Linked DNA regions of Neurospora crassa OR74A. The protein of the gene in region 2 interacts with the protein of the main gene of each other region in a biochemical or structural test. Links are inferred from orthologs where the notes say so. Each region holds a gene or a part of one and is shown on either strand. Other genes may lie near its edges. The genes, in order: NCU03702, prm-1 and NCU16757.

What was found.
Region 1: of the proteins of prm-1 (region 2) and NCU03702, one has a biochemical effect on the other in vitro, tested with the Saccharomyces cerevisiae proteins (3 studies listed by BioGRID). The link is inferred for Neurospora crassa OR74A from reciprocal best matches to the Saccharomyces cerevisiae genes HMT1 and NOP1.
Region 3: of the proteins of prm-1 (region 2) and NCU16757, one has a biochemical effect on the other in vitro, tested with the Saccharomyces cerevisiae proteins (2 studies listed by BioGRID). The link is inferred for Neurospora crassa OR74A from reciprocal best matches to the Saccharomyces cerevisiae genes HMT1 and GAR1.

Annotation. Positions count from the first base shown.
Region 1 is NC_026505.1:2,139,869-2,143,615, reverse strand, and holds the start of NCU03702 (rRNA methyltransferase NOP1), read left to right. Parts: upstream 1-1,369; 5' UTR 1,370-1,656; coding exon 1,657-1,771; intron 1,772-2,007; coding exon 2,008-2,068; intron 2,069-2,130; coding exon 2,131-2,365; intron 2,366-2,426; coding exon 2,427-2,752; intron 2,753-2,810; coding exon 2,811-2,977; intron 2,978-3,038; coding exon 3,039-3,106; 3' UTR 3,107-3,747. Other genes in the region: NCU03703 (60S ribosomal protein L17), read right to left, coding at 74-229, 322-509, 712-925, 1,114-1,116.
Region 2 is NC_026501.1:554,668-558,414, reverse strand, and holds prm-1 (protein arginine N-methyltransferase 1), read right to left. Parts: upstream 2,452-3,747; 5' UTR 2,188-2,451; coding exon 2,102-2,187; intron 2,017-2,101; coding exon 2,003-2,016; intron 1,890-2,002; coding exon 1,760-1,889; intron 1,644-1,759; coding exon 1,312-1,643; intron 1,241-1,311; coding exon 762-1,240; 3' UTR 165-761; downstream 1-164. Other genes in the region: mob-2b (protein kinase activator), read right to left, coding at 3,451-3,747. UniProt on the Saccharomyces cerevisiae protein: S-adenosyl-L-methionine-dependent protein-arginine N-methyltransferase that catalyzes both the mono- and asymmetric (type I) dimethylation of the guanidino nitrogens of arginine residues in a variety of RNA-binding proteins such as heterogeneous nuclear ribonucleoproteins (hnRNPs) and small nuclear ribonucleoproteins (snRNPs).
Region 3 is NC_026504.1:1,399,937-1,403,683, reverse strand, and holds NCU16757 (H/ACA ribonucleoprotein complex subunit 1), read right to left. Parts: upstream 2,440-3,747; 5' UTR 2,259-2,439; coding exon 2,201-2,258; intron 2,035-2,200; coding exon 1,835-2,034; intron 1,770-1,834; coding exon 1,365-1,769; 3' UTR 249-1,364; downstream 1-248. Other genes in the region: NCU07902 (hypothetical protein), read right to left, coding at 1-176; NCU16756 (hypothetical protein), read right to left, coding at 2,719-3,552. UniProt on the Saccharomyces cerevisiae protein: Non-catalytic component of the H/ACA small nucleolar ribonucleoprotein (H/ACA snoRNP), which catalyzes pseudouridylation of rRNA and is required for ribosome biogenesis.

The DNA.
Region 1 (3,747 bases), on a different chromosome or scaffold from region 2:
ACCGTTCCGGAAAAAAAGTGAAGCCCTCAATCAAAACATCCCCTCGTCCAATCACCTAGCTATCAAAGCGCATTTAAGCGGCAGTGATGGCACGGCGGACGCGAGCGCCACGCTGGCGGGAGGAAAGGTGAGCCTCCTCGCGGACAACGGCCTCGGACTTCTGGACGACCTCATCGGCCTCAGTGAGGATGAGCTCGATGTGGCAGGGGTTGGACATGTAGGGGTTGATCTAAAACATAACTGTTAGCCAATGACCGGCTTGATCGTCTATCTGCCGGCGCAGAAGCAGAAATCAGGGGGGTATCTCCGGGTTTGACGTACGCGACCGTGAGCGCGGTAAGTGCGGCGGCGCTGCTTGGGGGCCTGGTTGACCTGGATGTGCTTGACAACGAGGTTGCCAGTGTCAAGACCCTTGGCATCGGCGTTGGCCTCAGCGTTCTTGAGGAGACCGAGAAGGAACTCGGCGGACTTGGCGGGCCAGCGGGCGCGGGAAACACCGAACTGCTTGCCTATATGACGAAGAAACGGTCAGCACCGTGTCTTCTATGTCCTCCATTCGATTGCGGTTTCGTGTCGGTCGGTCGCGGTTCCATCATGCTGACAATGCCCCCCTATTCCCCCGCCACTTTGTCCTCCCCACTGTCGTCGTCGTCGTCGCATGATGTACCGGTTCGGGTGTGTTTGTGCATGTAAATATCGAGTAAGTCGTACCTTGGGCGGCGCGGCCGGTGCCACCAGCGTAGCGTCTCATGGGGACAGCCTCCTTCTTCTCAAGAACGTTCTCGAGGAACTTCTGAGCACGCTGGAGCTTCCAGCCATTGATGGCCTGGGCGGTCTCACGGGTGTTCTTGAAGGAGACACGGAGGTAAGAGCCGCGCGAGCGGGCGGACTTAGCCGGGGCAATCTCAGTCGCAGCGTACCGAACCTGCGATTTTGAACAAGACTCGGTCAGCGATTCCCTCTCCTCCAAGTGCTCGCAATGCTCGCAAAGCCGTCATTGTCGTCCGTTGAGACTTTCGTCGTCATTTCGGCTGCAGAAGCCCGAAAACTGTCCTGAAGCAAAATAACGGCGGCGATTCTCTCGTTCGGCGGATTTCGCAGGGATTTACTCACCATCTTGCCTGCTTGTCGATGAGAGGACGGGGAATCGACCAAGTGTGATGTTCAGAGGTGGTGATGGGTTCCAATTTTGGCGTACAAAAACCGATTTTCGCGATTAGGGCTCTGTGGGCACTGCGCAGGTGGCTCGTGCGGACCGTCACTTTGCCTGAGGCACGTGCACGCGGGGACAGTAAGTGCTAGCGCCGATAACAGCCTGCCTCCTGGACTGCCGGCCGTGCACGATAGCATCCGCAACAAACTGGAGAGCCTCGACCGCCACGCCAGGACGACAGCCAATTGCAAAGGCAGAAGGCCTCGACCGGAAAAAAAAGTGCTCCAGCGATGAGACTTCGTGCCCCGCTTTTTTTTCTTTCAATCCATGTCCAGGAAATTTTGCACCCAGCTCCAGCAAAAGCTCTTTTCCGAGTCCTCGACAGCGCCGCGCGACAACTCTAAACCCATTGTGCCTCGCACGACTGATCTTACAACGCGTTTCGGCCCAGAATCGCAACTCATACCGACTCCGACTTATCAATACCGACACATTCTATAAAAATGGGCTTCGAGCGTGGTGGCAGAGGCGGCGCCCGTGGCGGTGGTCGTGGTGGATTCGGTGGTGATCGTGGTGGCAGAGGCGGCGCCCGTGGCGGTAGCCGTGGTGGCTTCGGTGGTGAGTTTGGCCTCAATGCCATCGCCTGAATGGTCTTTGCGGTTATGTCGTTGCTTCTGTTCGTCATCTTGAGAGATGTCTCTGCGTCTGCTGCGGCCCGTGGTCGCCATGCATGCCTCTTGACTTCTCGTAGTAGGATGGCGATTTCAGTCGAACTTCATATCGCAACTCGACTCAACATGCGATGGCAACAGCAACCACATTAACGCAACACTTTACTGACAATGACTTAACAGGCGGCCGTGGTGGTGGTGCTCCCCGTGGTCGTGGCGGTCCTCGCGGTGGTGGCCGTGGCGGGTACGTCTTGTGTTCAAAACCCTTGATTACTCCAAAGACATTGACTGACATTATGAGTATAGTGCTACCCGTGGTCGCGGTGGTGCCCGCGGTGGCGCCAAGGGTGGTGCTGCTGGCAAGAAGGTCATCGTCGAGCCTCACCGTCACAAGGGCGTCTTCGTCGCTCGTGGTGGTAAGGAGGATCTCCTCGCTACCGTCAACCTTGTCCCTGGCGAGTCCGTCTATGGCGAGAAGAGAATCTCTGTCGAGAACGCCTCTAAGGAGGAAGGTGGTGCTTCCACCAAGACTGAGTACCGCGTACGTTTTCCAGGCTTTCCAGCTTGTGGCCTCAGACAAAGACTAACATTGGACTTTGCAGATTTGGAACCCTTTCCGTTCGAAGCTTGCTGCCGGTATCCTCGGTGGTCTTGAAACCATCTATATGAAGCCTGGTTCCAAGGTCCTCTACCTCGGTGCTGCCTCCGGTACCTCGGTCTCTCACGTTGCCGATATCGTCGGTCCTACTGGTTCCGTTTACGCCGTCGAGTTCTCTCACCGTTCCGGCCGTGACCTCATCAACATGGCTACTCGCCGCACCAACGTCATCCCCATCGTTGAGGATGCCCGTAAGCCCATGGCTTACCGCATGCTGCTCCCCATGGTCGATGTCATCTTCGCCGATGTTGCCCAGCCCGATCAGGCCAGGTAAGCCGACTTATACAGATCCTTGACACTGTATGTGCCTGACACTAACACATTTCAGAATTGTCGGCATCAACGCCAAGCTCTTCTTGAAGCAGGGTGGTGGTCTTCTCATCTCTATCAAGGCTTCTTGCATTGACTCCACTGCTCCTCCCGAGCAGGTCTTCGCCTCTGAGGTCCAGAAGCTCCGTGAGGACAAGTTTTTCCCCAAGGAGCAGTTGACTCTTGGTACGTCCATCCGCTTCCCTTTTGGTTGATAGAGCCAACAATAACTAACAATCACCCACAGAGCCTTACGAGCGTGACCACGCCATGGTTTCTTGCGTCTACCAGCAGAAGGAGTTCGTCGATAACTGAGTTTCGAATTAGTACTGTTCTATCTTCGTTGCTCTGTTCTGGAACCTTCACATAATTCGGTGTTCTACTGGCAGGATGGTTTTGTAAATCTGGAACGGCGAATGGCGTTTGGGTATCTGCCTTGTTTTAGCATTGTGGGAATAAAGCACCAGGGTTCTTAGACTGATATCCGGAGTGACCCCGGTTGCTTCCATCTTACGCCGCCTTTCACGATCTCGTCACGACTCCTAAGTCACCGCGCAACGAACCTCCTGTTCACCAGCGAAATTGGCCAGCCTACAACACATCAAGAACGATCACCAGTCAATCACCCTAAGAACGAGAAGGGCGCTGGATAGTCAAGCAGAGGTTGCTTTTATCGGCGCTTAAAATGCTCGACAGCTTGGTTCGTCTTTATGGCGTTTGAAATCTGCGAACTGAGAGTCCCTCCCCTTTCATCAGGGTATCACGTCGAAAACTGAGACTATTCTGGCCATTCGAGTTTCAAAGGAGATTGTTTGGGCCTGGGGACGCAAGGGTACTGCAAGCCAGTCATTACATGGCTTTGAGGATTATTTAAACATGCCTAGAGTCTATCCAGGATCAAGAGGATGCTGGGCCGTTGGTTTCGCTTGTTGATGAGCAAATTTGAGCTTGCTTAG
Region 2 (3,747 bases):
CCAAGCTCGAACAAAGATGATTCAACGTCCGGCTATGCGTTGTTTGATTGGCGCTTACTACCACCAACCTCAGCAAAGTTCATTTCGACTTTGGTCGGTTGATTAAAGTGCGGGTGTTCAATTCAACTTCGTCTGACGGGAACATCAGAAAATCATGCCTTGTTGTGGTATAGGTCGAGATTTCTCCATTTTCAACAAATTAACAAACTATACAACTCGTACTCAACTCTTTCTCCGTTGGGTATCGCATCAAGTATTCAGCATCACTATCTCATGATATCTCATTGTGATCAGTTATGAGCATTCCGTTGATGTTATCTTCCGGATGCTTTTGCAATCACGCACCCAACCCTGCGGGCCGAACGTATCGCGTTGTGATTTCGTGCTTTAATCAAGCATTGACTCATGTTTTCTCTGTGTATTACAGAGTAAGAGAGTTCCCTTATATGTATGTCTCTTCTTTCTTCCGCGCGCGCTTCCTTTCCGCTGCTGGATATCTAAGAAAACCCCTGGTCCCGCTAGTGAGTTCGTAAAAAGCAAAATATATGAAAAACACAAAACCCAGGTTAAAAAGCAACCCCTTCTCTTTTAAGACGCCGTGCAATTCCCAATACCCCCAAAAGCTTCGTTCGTGAATACTGTGAGCTCAACCACATCTCTTCGACCATCTCATGGACAAGGGGCGGCTTTTCAGCTCGCATCGTCCATTTGACTCGTCGATTCGACACTTTTGTCCGGCAGATCTGCAATCAAATAAAATACTAGCACATCTTGTACAAGCACCTGCCCTCAGCCTGCCTCGTGGGGTCTTGGTTCTCGAACTTGTAATCGACGGTGATATCAAGATCACGCTTGTTCTTCTGGTTGGGGCGGTTGTGGAGCGAGCACTGAACCTTCTCGCCCTGCTGGACGGTGAGGACGTCCTTGAGGTAGAAGACGGTCTGCTTCCAGTGGGTGTACTGGGTGTGGGGACCGGTCGAGAAGCGGATGGGCTTGTGGCAGGCAGTGAAGTCAATGTCGAACCAGGCGACAAGGGCGTGGATGAAGTCATCGCGTCTGGCGACGAGCTCGAAGTTGGTCTTGAAAGCCAGGTCGGCAGTGGTGCAAGTGTAAAGGTCGAGAGTCAAGATGTTGACGGGGTCAGTGACGACGGTCTTAACGTCAACAGTGTCGACAAGAGGCTCGGAGAGAGCAGTCTCCTTAAGAGGGCTGTAATCGAATCCGTAGACGTTGTCCCAGACTGGTAAACCGGTGTCAGTAGGAAGTTCTTCACAAAATCGAAAGCAAAAAAACCAGGGGCAGGAAACATACAGCCAATCTTCTCATCCTTGTAGTCACCGTCCTCGATACCAGCAATGAAGATGGTAGCCTTGTCGGGGAAGATAAGACCGCCGGGAGCCAGGTAACGGTCACGGGCGTAGAGGACAGTGTCCAACATGGACTCGTAGAGGAGGAAATAACCCATCCACTCAGAGATGATGATGTCAACCTTGGGGAAGGGAAGCTCGATCTCCTCCATCTTGCCCTGGATCAGGGTGATCTTGTCGGAGAGACCGTTGACCTTGACAATCTCACGAGCCTTGAAGATGATGGTGGACATGTCAACACCAATAACGTGCTTGGCGCCGGCCTTAGCGGCAAACCTGTGAGAAGAGAAGACGGTTAGCAGGCTGTTCCACCGTTTTTGGATTGCAGTGCTCGGCGCATTCCAGGACCGCCAGAGCTGCAGGTTTGCGTGATGCAGGGAGTGGGGACGTACATGGAGAGGATACCAGTACCGCAACCGACATCGAGAACGATCTTGTCCTTAAAGAGATGCTTGTTCTGGACGATAGAGTGCATGTATGACTTGGTTCTGACCTCGTCCTTCAACATTTCCTCGTGGATGCCTTTGTCGCGCAACAGGTCCAGGTTAGCAACAGTCAGACTATGAACGGCCACGAGGCCAACTAGGAAGCGCGCAGTCCGTGGACCCCGCGATAAGCGGATGGAGGTGTCTCACCATGGTGGTTATAGCTAGAGAACGAAGTCATGTTAGCTTTGATCTGTCTCTACCACCATATAACAACAACGAGAAGAGACGAGACGGTCATGTTCGTACCTGTTGAAGTAGTGCTGCTCGGCGTGATCCATGCTCTTGAGCTTCTGCTCGGCAACCTCAATGTCCATCTGATCGTTGGCCGCCATCTTGACTGTTGTTGATGCTGCTGTTGGTGCTGTTTGTGTATGGGAAAACAGACAAGAATAAAAGATGAATTGGTGTAAAGAAACCAAAAGGAATCAAAGAAGAGGAAAATGTAAAGCTGGAAAATTTGCAGGGCAGCTCAGCGATGGAGATAAAAAGTGGGAAGGAGGATGGAGAGGCAGGTTCGAAGGGGAGCCTGATGCTTGTGAAGTTTTCTTCGTGTGCCGCAATGGCAATTGCCCAGACGGGTCCAGCATGGCCTTTCCTTGCCTCAACTTTTTGCCTGGCCCCGTCAGAGATTGGGTTGCCAAATCAGATCCATACCCCACTTCAACTTGGGTTGTGCTGGGCTCCAGAGATGGAGAGGGAGGCAGTTCCTGGGTGGGGTGGGGTCCTGGGGGGCTTTCCCGCCTGCCCGCAAGAGTACCCGCCCGAGTCGTCACCCACACGGGCCCGACACCTCACTTACACGCGTAGGTACAGGGCTGTCCGACATCCGCGCAGGCACTGACAGGCACGCCTGGCACAACCTACTATGTACCTAGTACACTAGTACAGTCTGCGCGCCGGGCCCCCCGAACATGGGGACTACAACTGAAACCGCTTTATCGCATTATCCGATCTCTTGCCCCCCGCGACGCCGTCCCATCTCCAGGCTTGTCCCCTTTTGGATCTGGCGTGCCTAGCTCGGTCTTGGCAGTCTGGGCCGCTGATGGGCCCTTTTGGACCCTTTTTGGAGCACTCCACCTCACTGGCCCCCTCCCCTGGTGCTTGCCACTTTGGCGCTAGGTCTAGCCCGTGCTCCCATTGATGTATCTGACATCAGGTGTAACCCCAACGTGGGTTTGGATATCTTGAAGGGTGTTGTATTGTAGAGATCTGGCATTTCCCTTTCAACGCCATTCAGATCCATGATAAATGAGCCATCACTTCTCAACCTTCTTTCGAACACTCAAGCGACTAAGAGATCTAACTGCCCCTTGCCCTCTCGAGTCAGCATCCCAGTAAGGACAAGCCATTTTCCTTCAGCAAACGCCCAGATATATATAGTGATACTTTTCGTCTTGGTATTAGTCTCCTCATCCATCGCTTTTCTGGCCTGCCACATCTAACTCCCGTTCAATGTACACATGGCCATTATCTATCCTCTAGAGTAACCCAACATAACCGAGATAGATCAGGATACTCCACATGTTGACAAGCCTCATCATGATATGCTCTGTTTTTCCCCATAACATCCCCTTGTTTTCTTCATGCTCCTGTAATTAAGCCAGGCCTGCCATCTGCATCAGGCGAGTGCCAACCTTCAAGTTGGCGTACTCATAAGCCTTCGATTCCGGTGGAAAGGTACCATTGGCGGCCCAGAGATCAATCAAAGGCTGCATTGGCTCAAGCTCGGCCGGCTTGAGCATATCGAGGGCGGTCGCTGTCAGCACAAAATGGCTGAAACAGCTGTTGAGTTGCTTCTCCAAGTTCAAATGGTAGAAGGGCTCCGTAAAGTGGGCCCAGTAAAGGTGAGCGTAGACGCGGAACATCTGGAGGAAGATGGTCTGGCAAATGTT
Region 3 (3,747 bases), on a different chromosome or scaffold from region 2:
AAGGCATTGAGAGAATTCCTCCACCCCCTTTTCCGGAGTTGGTTGACTATGCTTCTTTCGTTTTGTAGAACTCGGACAATCACCAGATTGAGCGCCGCAAGTGTGAAAGTGAGGAGGCCGACAATGTTTGCGGCTGTGGAGAGTTTGCTGTCCTGAGGCTCAGAGTCGTCAGCCATATTGCAATCCTGGAGAGATGATACCTATGCATGCAAATGATGTAATGATATGGAGGAACGAGTTAGTGAAGGGGCCTCAACAATTGACATCGTTAGGGGAAGGTCGAGTTGCGTTTTGATCTATATACGGCTATCGCTGAACAAGGTTACAAGGACATGCGCCGGAACTAACAGTCCACCACCACGGGTCAACCTCAGTCCACACGGACCGCAGCCTGCACGGGCCCTTTAGAGTCACAAGCCATAATGACCCAAGCAGCCACTCAAGCCAATGGCAAAATGCCGGAAAGACGGGGAGGCGGACAACCATGCGCTGCTGTCTGGGTACATTGGTAACGGCTCGTGACCTGTTGTGCGCATAGTCGGCGGAAATAGGCACGAAGAGGCTCGACAATTCTTGATTCTTTTTCGCGAGGGGTGTTGTGGAAGTTGCGGCGTTGGAAGAATGATGGGTAGGAACACCTCGGACGGAGTGGGTGAAGACGAAGAAGAGGTTTCGGGTTGCGAGAGGTTCGTCGTTCGAAGGGGTCAGTTGCGGGCCGTTGATGCTTGGGGTTCAGTCGGTGCTATATCTGACGGGTTGGCGCTCGATATGCGGTCGATGTGTGGTTGCTGCATGGTCGATCATATTGGACTGGGGCCTCTGCTTACCCAGCTAGGCTACCGAAATCCAGTCCAACCCGAGGTTCAGGAGGATGTCGTGCATCTTTGAGGATCCCATTCGACGGCGGCGGTGACGTATACAACTGGGTACTGCCCTTGATTGTACGCAAGTGACCGGACACATAGCTGTCTGTCCGAACATGACCTGGTGCCTGTGCCAAGGACATTTTAATGCCCCAATTTCATCCACCGTCAACGTGAAGGCTTGTGAAGCCAGATCCAGATGCGCTCAGTTTGATGTGTTGTAGTCCAAAGAAACCGAAATTAGCAGACAGAGAAAACCGAGAGATGCCTACAGAGATAAAAACACAACTTGCCGAACCCTCCTGATGCGGCAGAAAGAATTTGTCCCTTCCATAACGCCACAAGCCATAGCCATTTTGAGGACCATGTTTAACAAAACCCAAGAACCTGGTAAAGCAACAAGTCTTTCTTCCGCTCCCTTTCCTTTCCAAGCAGCGCCAGCAGCAGCACCACTGGTTGGTGTCTTCGTCGTCGTCGTCGTCGTCACTCCTTCGCAACCGCTTAGTAGCCACCACGACCACCGCGGCCGCCACCGCGGGAGAAACCGCCGCCACCACGGCCACCACCACCCCTCGAGAAGCCGCCGCTGCCACCGCGACCGCCGCCCCTGCTGAAACCACCACCGCCGCCGCGGGAGAAGCCACCACCACCACCGCGAGAGAAGCCACCGCCGCCGCCGCGAGAGGAGAAGCCGCCACGGCCGCCACCGCGGGCACCGCCTCTGGGACCGCCACGACCACCAGCACCACCACGGCCAGCCTTCTTCACCTTGGGGGCGCCGAGAACCTTGGGCTTGGGGAGGAAACGCTCGAGAGGGAGGAGCTTCTCGGAGCCGACGAAGACCTTGTCGCCGGGCTTGAAGGAAGTAGCGACGATGCCGGTTTGGGGCTTGACGGTGAAGTAAACCTGAAAGAAGGAGAGGAGTGTTAATTTGATGTGCTATGGTTCATGTTTCGGAGGGAAGTGCGCACCTGGTTGAGAGGACCGAGAACCTCATCGATCTTGCCGATGGGGGTCTTGTTCTCAAGGAAGACCTGAGCGTTGAAATGGGGGATCTTGGGGTTGGTGGACTTGTAGAACATCTCGCCCTCGACGGCGTGCTCGAAGGTGCCGAGCTCGAGAACCTGGGCGGGGGGACCATCGTCGCGCTGACCGAAGCCACCACGGCCGCCTGTTGTAGGATATCTATGTTAGTTGTCATTGAACATTGGGGAAGAAGTATGGGTGAAAAGGTAAATCGCCCTGAGTGGCGCCAATGGTTGACGGCAAAGTGCGACCAAGGCGACGACATCAAGGTGTGCGATAACGGTTGATAATAGAAGAATAATGCGGCGTACCTCTGAAGCCGCCACGGCCACCGCGGTCACCACCTCCTCCACGACCTCTGAAAGACATGATTTGTTGGTTGGATTGGGTTGTTTGTTGAAATGGGAATACGGCAAGGGTGCGTCTTGCGTCTCCTCGCGCGTCAGTGAATTGGAGGACCGTCGGGTTCGGAGTGAGATGTTGACAATGATCGTTTCGCCGGCGCAGACAATTGAAATTTTTCCGTGTTCCTGGAAGACTGAAAGAGTAGCAATTTTTCCCGGCCGGCAATCGTCTGCAGATGTCCACCACCCCACCTAAGCCAGTCCCATTTTCAAACGGTTCCTGGCGGCGCATTGGCTCAATGCGAATTGTGGATGGACCAGGGTTAGTGGCTGCTGTGGGCTGTGGGTCCGTGCCCGGGGCCCTAAGAAACGCGAATGTGGGGATTTCGACATCACTTTGTGCAGCCCTGTAACAGTTTGACGGGAACACTTTCCGACTTCATCGATGCATTTTGCAGCTTCAAGTACAGCAGCTGTTCGCCTCATCACACTACACGACGCTCTGAAATTACCGTAATCGTATGGACATACTTGACCTCACCGCCCTCGACCCGGATCTCATGGCTATCCGGCATATTCCCCAGCGCATCAAACGAGCACAGCACGTCAACCGAACCCATCACCTCATCGATGACATATCGCCGATTTCCGTTGCGCTTTGAACTGCCTCCTCTCGGTAACTGAACACCACACGGTCTGGTATACTGCGATCCTTCAACGCGTTCACAGTCGGCCCCCCATGGAATACTATCAGCCGCCTTTGCATCCGTCCACATGTCGAGATAAGCATCCCCGACCTTTCTCAACAGTTCTCGACTTGGCCGATTCGCCGCCGTCTCAATGACGCCCCAGTTCTCCTTCTGGATGTACCCGAACGTCTTTTGGGCGTTGAAGAACAAGGACCCCGTCGTGGCAGCGATGGTGTCGATAGATGAGATGGTTGATGTGTCTCCATCGGCTGGATGACGGATCTGGGTTGCCGTGACATAGGGCTTGGAGTTGGAACCGCTCGCCAATGAGATGATCATGGTGTAGCTGGCGCAGGCAATGGTGTCGGCCGTTGATCGGTTGAGGCTGATGTTGTGCGACTGGCTGAGGATGCCGCGCTTGATGTCGGCTGCCTTGTTGTTTTCCTGGTAGGCAAAGTTGCTCAAGGTGAGTTGGAGGCCGTCAAGTCTGCCGGCGGAGAAGGCGTCTACATAACTGTTGGCTGCTGCTAGCAGTCCCTCCCGGGTACATTTCGCGAAAACAGAAGTAATGAGTGCAAGGAAGCAGACAACGGTGAACCAGACCGTGTCTTTGGCAGATCTGGACAGCATCGTGATGTGAAGGTAGGTGCTTGGCTGTGATTAGAGTAGCTGTTTCGGCCATGGACAACTTTGGTTCACGATGCTCGGCTGAGTGCTTAAGTACTCACTTCCAGGAGCCGATAGCTTCTGCCGAGTCTTCATCCTCGACCCCGTTTCATGAGTAGGCCTGCTGTGGATAAATGGAGGGCACTGATTAATTCTGCG